2 linked regions of the Mus musculus genome follow. The protein of the gene in region 1 interacts with the protein of each later gene in a biochemical or structural test. Links are inferred from orthologs where the notes say so. Each region holds a gene or a part of one and is shown on either strand. Other genes may lie near its edges. The genes, in order: Gtf2b and Gtf2f1.

The links.
Region 2: the proteins of Gtf2b (region 1) and Gtf2f1 form a complex in vitro, tested with the Homo sapiens proteins (3 studies listed by BioGRID and IntAct). The link is inferred for Mus musculus from reciprocal best matches to the Homo sapiens genes GTF2B and GTF2F1.

The regions. Positions count from the first base shown.
Region 1 is NC_000069.6:142,778,679-142,782,492, reverse strand, and holds part of Gtf2b (transcription initiation factor IIB), read right to left. Parts: intron 2,802-3,814; coding exon 2,655-2,801; intron 2,524-2,654; coding exon 2,394-2,523; intron 1,154-2,393; coding exon 872-1,153; intron 1-871. UniProt on the Homo sapiens protein: General transcription factor that plays a role in transcription initiation by RNA polymerase II (Pol II). Involved in the pre-initiation complex (PIC) formation and Pol II recruitment at promoter DNA.
Region 2 is NC_000083.6:57,008,438-57,012,890, forward strand, and holds the start of Gtf2f1 (general transcription factor IIF subunit 1), read right to left. Parts: upstream 2,852-4,453; 5' UTR 2,684-2,851; coding exon 2,672-2,683; intron 2,586-2,671; coding exon 2,539-2,585; intron 1,324-2,538; coding exon 1,251-1,323; intron 1-1,250. UniProt on the Homo sapiens protein: TFIIF is a general transcription initiation factor that binds to RNA polymerase II and helps to recruit it to the initiation complex in collaboration with TFIIB. It promotes transcription elongation.

The sequences.
Region 1 (3,814 bases):
TCAGCTACATGGCAAGTTTGAGGCCAGCTTGGGATAGATGAGGCCTTGCCTCAAAACAAACAAAAACCAACCACACAAATGGGGGAAGGGTTATGAGGCCCCATCCCTGCCTGACAGATGACTGACAATTAACAGTGGCTGGGAAAGGGGTGACGTGACTCTTAGGTAGGGAGCCCTGCTCAAGGTAGGAAAACCTATCCTTCCTCCTTCCCCAAACACTTCCACACGGAAAAAACTCTGAGCTAACATGTCATTGATTTCCACTCAAGAGTGCCCGCCTAGGGACTCGGTTTTTGACCATGTATGACCACAATCCCAGATCCTAGCTGAGATGTCATCACTCTGCCTAAACATAAACCCCCTCTTTAGCCTGGAAGTGTAACTTCACTGACCTCCACCTGTGAGATGGATGAACCCACTTGAGAGGTGCTTCCTAATAAACTTGCCTTTATCTACTTTAATCTGGTGGAATCTGGCCTATATCTGCATCACCCAGGGAGAGTAACCACTGAGAAGCTGTGCATGTTCCAGTAAATCCCTTCACAAAAGACACATATGAAAATTAAACAATTTAATTTGGAAAAGGAGCCTTGCACACAGGCTGTATACCTCTAAATAACCACTATAAGCAAGCTACTGTACTTTCTTGAGGTATTGTTTTGTTGTGAGGCTAGGAATGAAAACCAGGCTCTCAAGCACACTAAGCAAATAATCTCTTGGTGAAGAGGACTCTGTCCAATCCTTCCTCCTTATGAGTTAATGCTTCTTCAAGGATCTGAATAGTTAACCCTTTCCATGGGAGATTATGAGTAAGACCACTACACTCCCAGCCTTGCCATCTCATTGGCTGATGTCCTGATGAAGCTCCTACCTTTCTGTGTTCGCTTCTCAGCTGAAGCCTGGGAAGCCATGTAAATAGCTGCTGCCGCCACAGAGATCGGGCTCCTGCCAGGAACCAAGTCCAGCTCCACTGCCTTGCGGGCTATGTGTGTAGCTGCCATCTGCACTTGCTTGGGGAGGCAAAGGTTGGAGCAGAACCTGGACATGAAGTCCCCAGTTGTGATCAGATCCACGCTGGTTTCCAGAGCTTTCAAAATCAGTTTAAAACAGCGGCCAATTTCTTTCTTAGAGATTCGAGACACAGCACATATTTCTAAAAGAGAAAGTATTTTTAAAGAATTTGTAAGACAATTCATTTTATAAACTTTATTATAAAATTAAGTAATAAATAATTATTATTTATTATTAATAAATTATTAAAATATTCTGGTTGTAAAAAATTCAATCAAGGCTTAAAGATGAGCCCTAAATCCTCTCGGAAGTACTTCCTATGGAGCTTATTTATTCAAAACATATTGGTTTATATTTTCACCACACTTTGGACTGTTTTCTTTCAAAACACAAACTTATCTAGTTCAATTTATACAATAAGTTTCTCCAAGGAATCAACTTCTCTGACAGCCTGGTAAGAAATGTTCTAAGGAGAAGAAAGAAAACACTCAAGCTGGAGAATGCGAGTGCACATGTATGACCTGCAACTGTCTGCATGCTGTCGCTATATAAGCTAAACTCTTACCCCTGTTTGAGCTGTTACAGCAAAAGAGCTGTGCTAGTCATCCCTCTACCCGTGACTTAGGAAAGCTTATGAAAATGCTCATTGGATATGGTGACTATAGTCCCGACCTGGACCTGGTCAGTGATGGGCAGTGTAGGTATCACCACAACACTGGAGGAGTTTGTCCTGAGGAAACACAAGCTCGACAAAAGCCAGCACTTAAATCAGAAGTCCTTAGTTTGCATAAAACTGCAAACAATAAGCCTCAAAAAACAAAACAAAAATGAAACAACAACCTAATTACATTGACCCCTTCCAAGACCTGACCCCTCAAATGTGAAACCTATGCTGGCTGTGGTTTCCATCACCAGCTATATATGTAACTTCAAAAGCCTCTCCAGCAGATGATGTCAGGGCTCCTATAAAGCAGTCAGCTGTGGGGTTGGAGAGATGGCTCAGCAATTAAGAGCACTGGCTGTTCTTCCAGAGGTCCTGAGTTCAACTCCCAGCAACCACGTGGTGGCTCACAGCCATCTGTAATAGGATCAGATGCCCTCTTCTGGTGCCTCTCAAGACAGCTACAATGCACTCACATACATAAATAATTAAAACAAAAACAAAAAAAAAACCAGTCAGCTATACTGTTGACTTACAGGGATTAAAATGCTACCTGCATAAGCAGCTTGCAAAGAACATGGCAAAGAAGCCTGTCTTGTACATTTTTCTGTCAAAGAACATACAGAGCCACTGGCAAACGGTGTGTACATGGATCACTGTGCAGTGTCATTAAGCATTGACGCTGCCTGTCTGAGCTCTACTTGGTACAACTGAAGCCTACCTTTAAATGTCCTGGGAACGCCTTCTTGTCTACAGGCGATGTACAGACAAGCAGAGGCTATCGCGTCATTAGCTCTGCCCTTCAGGCTCTTCTGCTCATACACTTGCTTGAATAAATTATTTGTTCGATCCTTCAAAGCAGAGAAACTTAGTTTAATTAAGTCTAGGCCATTTAATCACTTACAGTATCAAAATTGTATGTATTCATTAAATTATGCAGAGTAAAGTCAGAATGGCTTGGAGGAGGCGGATAAGAACTTACAACTATATTGCGAGGGAGGTTGATTCTGTCCGCCATGGTCGTGATTTCCTTGAATGCGTTCATCATTGCTCGATCAGAGCTACTCATTGTTCTCCGGTTCTGATACTTAGAATTGCCAAACTCATCAAAACTTGCAGCTCCTGTACCCTATAAAACAAAGATTTAACCTTGGTCAACATTTTTGGAAAATGTGAACAGTGTCTATGAAAATGTAATGTACACACTCTGACTCCATATGCCCCGGGAGTCTGTCCAGTGGAGCCTGTGACTCAAACAGAAACTTCCATTAGAACATGCTTTAAAGAGGTTGGTTTCAGGAATACTTAAATCTTGGCAATTGCTCAACAATACAGAAAATGGAACTATATGCCATGTTAGAGCTTTCCTACTGCACAATCTTGCTTTGTTTATTTTTTGAGACAGGTTCTTACTATATAGGCCTTAACTGGCTACGTAGCCTGGAGAGATTCTCCAGCTTGACCTGCTGCCTGAAGACAGCTCTAGGATTGAAGTTTGTGACTATGGTGGGGTGTGTATGTATGTATGGCCTTTGGTAGAATCATTACTTGGGTCCATCACTGGTTCCCCATCTGGGGTAAACAGATGTTCATGTTGGATCTCCTCATAAAAAGTCTTACACAACTGATACCAAAGATGGTAACGTTGTTTGTAAAAATATGTAATAGGTATCTGCCTGTGTGTGTGTGTGTGTGTGTGTCTGTGTACCAGTGCATTACTGATGCCAAGGGAAATCAGAGGAATCCCTTAGGATTGCAGTTACAGTTTGTGAGCCAGGAATTTCACCCAAGTCTTCCAGAAAAGCAGCCAAATGCTCTTAATCCCAGCCCAAGTTTCTAATGTTGATTACAAGACTGTAATTTTTTCTTCTGTAGACAGTCAGCCTCTCTCCCCAGCCATCCCTGTCATTGCTCAATGGACACATGAACAAAGTGGCCATGGTGGTCGAGATGGAGGTTATGCTTGGGCTCAGCAACACGGACTTCCACTCACCAAGGCCGACCTGGCTACAGCTCCTGCAGAATGCCAGATCTGCCAACAACAGAAACCAACACTGAGCCCCAGATATGGCACCATTCCTCGAGGTGACCAGCCAGCAACCTGATGGCAGGTTGACTACATTGGACCACTTCCTTCGTGGA
Region 2 (4,453 bases), on another chromosome or scaffold:
CACAGCGTGCCCACATGCATACAAACATCACACACACAGAATACTCTGGTCACAGGGAATGTGGGACTTACTACAATAACAGTAAAGCAGACTGGTTCATGAGATCATGGAGTACAGAGACTAAAGATGTATAGTGACCACCTGAGGAAGGCCCAGGAGCAACCTCAACAATATGAAGATAGTGACATTTTAACATGGCACCCAAAAGAGTGGATAGTTTAAAACTTTGGCCTTTAACATTTTTTTTTTATTCTTAGTATTATCTAGAAAGTCCTGTTATGTAGCCCAGGCTGGCTTCAAACTTATGATCCTCCTGCCTCTACCTCCCTGGTGCTGGGATAGTAGTATCTCTGGCTATACCCATCTTGTGGAATCATTTTATCCTTTTGAGACAGGGTCTCACTACAGTGAAATTCACCATGCAGACCAGGCTGGCCTTGAAGTCTGAGATCCACTGACTCTGCTGCTTTCGAACTGGCAGTAAAGGTATGTGCCACTACGGCCAGCTGGCTTTTTCTTAAAAACAAAAACCCCAAACTTTTAAAGTGTATTTCTTTTTGTGGAGGTTGTACATGACATTGCCTGTATGAGATCCAAGGACACACTTGGAGCCACCTCTTTGCTCACTGAGTTATCTTGCTACCCACTACTTTACTTTTTTAAGACATGGTCTGTGGCTGGCAAGTGGTGGCGCACACCTTTAATCCCAACACTTGGGAGGCAGAGGCAGGTGGATTTCTGAGTTGGAGGCCAGCCTGATCTACAAAGTGAGTTTCAGGACAGCCAGGGCTACACAGAGAAACCCCGTCTTGAAAAACCATTAAAAAAAAAAAAAAAGACACCGTCTATATGTATCGTGGGCTTTACTGTGCAGGCAAGGATCATCTTCAGTTTGAGGTCCTACCCCCTTCCCGTGCTGGGATGACAGGCGTGTGCCACCATGGCTAGTATACATGGCGCTGGGGATCCAGCTTGGCCTCATATATGCTAGATTCGTGCTCTACTGACTGAACCACATCCTCTGACATGCTTTGCTTTGCTTTGCACTTCTTTTCTTTGGAGCTAGGATTTATGTAGCACAAGCTGGTCTAAAACACTCAGTCTTTCTGCCTCAGCCACCAAATGGCTGGAATCACAAATCTGCTGGAGCCACAGGTGTGGGCACCATCGTTTCAGTAAAGTTATTACTATACATAGTCACCAGCCCAGGGTTAGGTCCCTGCCCCAGCCACCCAGAATCACCCACTTACCTGGTTCCAGGTAGCAAAGTTGACTTTATCGGCTGCATTAAAAGCCATTATGTTGTATCTTTTGGCTGTGTTCCTGGAATGGGCAAGAAACTATTCAATCTATTGATTATTCATTCAACAAATCTATGCTTTACACCCTTGGTTGTAGGTAATTCTGGGAACTCATAAAAGACTCCAGAGCAATGGTTCTAAAGCTCTGACCCTCTAATACATCTCCTCATGCTGCGGTGACCCAATCATAAAATTATTTTTGTTTAGTTCACAACTGTAAGCTATAAATGGTCATGTAAATATCTGTGTTTTCCGATGGTCTTAGGCAACCTGCAAGTTGAGAACCACGCTCTAGTTTTTCAGGGGTTTTGTTTTGTTTTGTTTTAAAGAATCAAGATCCATCTCATCCAACCCAACCCCATCAGATAAAGATCCACAGACACTAGGCTCTCTTACAGCATCACATACAGAAAGAGTGAGAGCGAGAGCAAGAGCGAGAGTGAGAGAGGAGAGACAAGAGAGAACATTCATACACATAGATAATAAATTAAATCTTCAAGAAACAAAGGGACCACCAGGCAGAGTTGGCACATGCCTTTAATCCCAGCACTTGGGAGGCAGAGGCAGGTGGATTTCTGAGTTCGAGGCCAGCCTGGTCTACAAGGTGAGTTCCAGGACAGCCAGGGCTACACAGAGAAACCCTGTCTCGAAAAACCAAAAGAGAAAAAAAGAAAAAAGGAACCAAAAGTGCGGAGGACCCCTATGTAGAAAGAAGGGCAGGCAGGCAAGGGTCTTAATGGATCTGAGTGGGTTCAAAGCCAGCCTGATCAAACCATCTGAACTACACAGTAAGACTCTTGTCTTCAAAATAAACAAAACTTAAGAGGGGGCTGGGTGTGGCTCGGTGGTGGAGTACTTGCCTAGCATGTACCCACCTAAAATAAAGTTAGAAGTTGAGGGACATGGCACTTGGCACAAAAAAACAGGATGTATACCACCTGTGACCAGTTTGGGGTTTTCTTTTATTTTGGGACAGGACCCGACTATGTAGCCCTGGCTGTCCTGGAACTCACTATACAGACCTGGCTGGCTGCGAACTCACAGAAATTCTCTTACATCTGCTTCCCAAGTGCTGAGATTAAAGGCAGTCACCATGTCTGACCTGACCCGTCTGACTCAGGGCAAAGTCACCGACCCCTGACATTAACTACCAAGGGGTAACTGTTACTGTGTCTTGGACGGGGTGGCAGGGGAACACAGGGCCGAGGTTCTGGAGTGTGGGTGGACGGGGACTTACTTGGGGACTCGGACGACGTACTCGGTGACATTCTGGCTGCTGGAGCCCTGCAAGAGAGCAGGGGTCTGTAAGGCGAGGAGAGGGCGCGGGGTCTGTTCTGCGACACCTCTGTCCCCACCTCATTCATACTCACTAGAGCCGCCATGGCCGTTGCTCAAGCTGCTCCCGGTCGGCCTGACGGGATGAACTTCGTTGTGTCCCTCGGCTCCAGGAAAGGGAAGGCACCTTTCCTGGTTGTCACGTTAGTGTGATGCTGTGCTTTGGATTTCCAAATCCTTAAGTCTCGGAGAATGCTGGAAGACGAGAAAAAGAGACCTAACTCTCTGCGCATGCGTTAGAGCCTGACCCGGAAGTTGAGCTGCCACACCGAGAAGAGCGCAGCCGCTGTAACTACTCTAGATCACCAGCTTCGGAGAGAAAGCCACCTTTTGGCGGCGTTCTCTGTTTATATACCACGGAAAAGTCACGTGTAGACACGCCCGTCGTGACGTCACGACGCAGGCACCGCGGAGCATCCTGGGTAGGGTGGAAATGGAGTCTCCTGGTAGACGCGAACTCGATCCTCTTGCGCAAGCGTAAATGTGTCCAAGAAGCGGGAACGGAGGCCGAGTTGCCATGGCAACCGAGGCCCACTCTGTGGGGTGGCTTCTTCGGCTCTTCTGGGGCGGGTCTGAGGTTCAGTTTTCTGTGTCCTGGGATATGGGGATCCCGAGGATCTTGCAAAATGAGTCCCTTGTGACGTAGAGCGGAGCCGGGGACTCGGTGCAGGGTGGAGACAGGGCCCCAGCGTACCCCGGCATTGCGGGCGGGATGGGTCTGTGCGAGTCCACGCTGCCCCAGCTGGGCAGAGCTTTGAGGCCCCAGGAGAAGGGTAACGACGTGGGGTGGTTGGTTTACATGGGCCAACGAAAGGGGGAGATGGGCAAGTATCCCCACTACCTGGGGGTGTACACCAACCCCTGCACGGAAGGAACGCATCTGCGCATGCTCCCACCTCACTGTTGGTTGATGCCTTTGGCATATAACTTGAGTAGAGGAGCCAGTGTCGGAAATGGAAAGTACTATTCTCTGGGGACAAATCAGAGAAAGGGAGCCTACGGGATGCAAAGGAGTTGGTTAAGCAGAGGGGCAAGGGAGGCACAGGCATTGAACTTGAGAGGAATGAGATAGGCTGATTCCATGACTGTCTTTGCATAAACAACTGACTCCACAGATGTGTCTAGTAGGGGAGGCATTCATTTCTCCGCCTTCAGGGAGTGCGCCTTAAGTTACAGAGGCTGGCTAGGAAGACCAAAGTGAACTGAAAGGGACAAAGAACGAGGGCTGACTGCGGAGGAGAGGAAAGGGCAGAGAGGTCTTATCCCAACTCAGAGGTTGTGTGACTAGAGGCACAAGCAGGCAGCATAGAAAGGACCGCATGGTGGGCGGAGCAGGGTGCTACTGGGTGAGTTTGAGGGCCCTCTTCTTTATCTGTAAAATGGGGTGATGGAGTCACTAAGGCACTTCATGGAGGTCTGTGCAAATGGCTCAGGAAAATCCCCACAGGGGGATGCTTCAACGTGAGTCCAGGATTTCTTATAGACTTGCACTAGTACCATCTTTCTTCCCTGAACACCATAGATATCCTGAGGTATCCCCTGATCATCTTCGTGGTGGGGGGGCCCGGCTGCGGGAAAGGGACCCAGTGCAGAAACATGGCTCTGAAATACGGCTTCTACCATGTGGAGCTGGGCCAGCTGCTGCGGGAGGAGGCTCAGAGAAGCACCCAGAGGGGACGGCAGATCCGGGACATCATGCAGAAGGGACTCCTGGTACCCACGGTGAGAGTTCACAGGAGTTCATGGGGTCACTCATGGCTGGACGGAGTCCCCAGGAAGCCAGGGTCTGCTGGCCCAGTGACTGCCTTGCAGCCCTA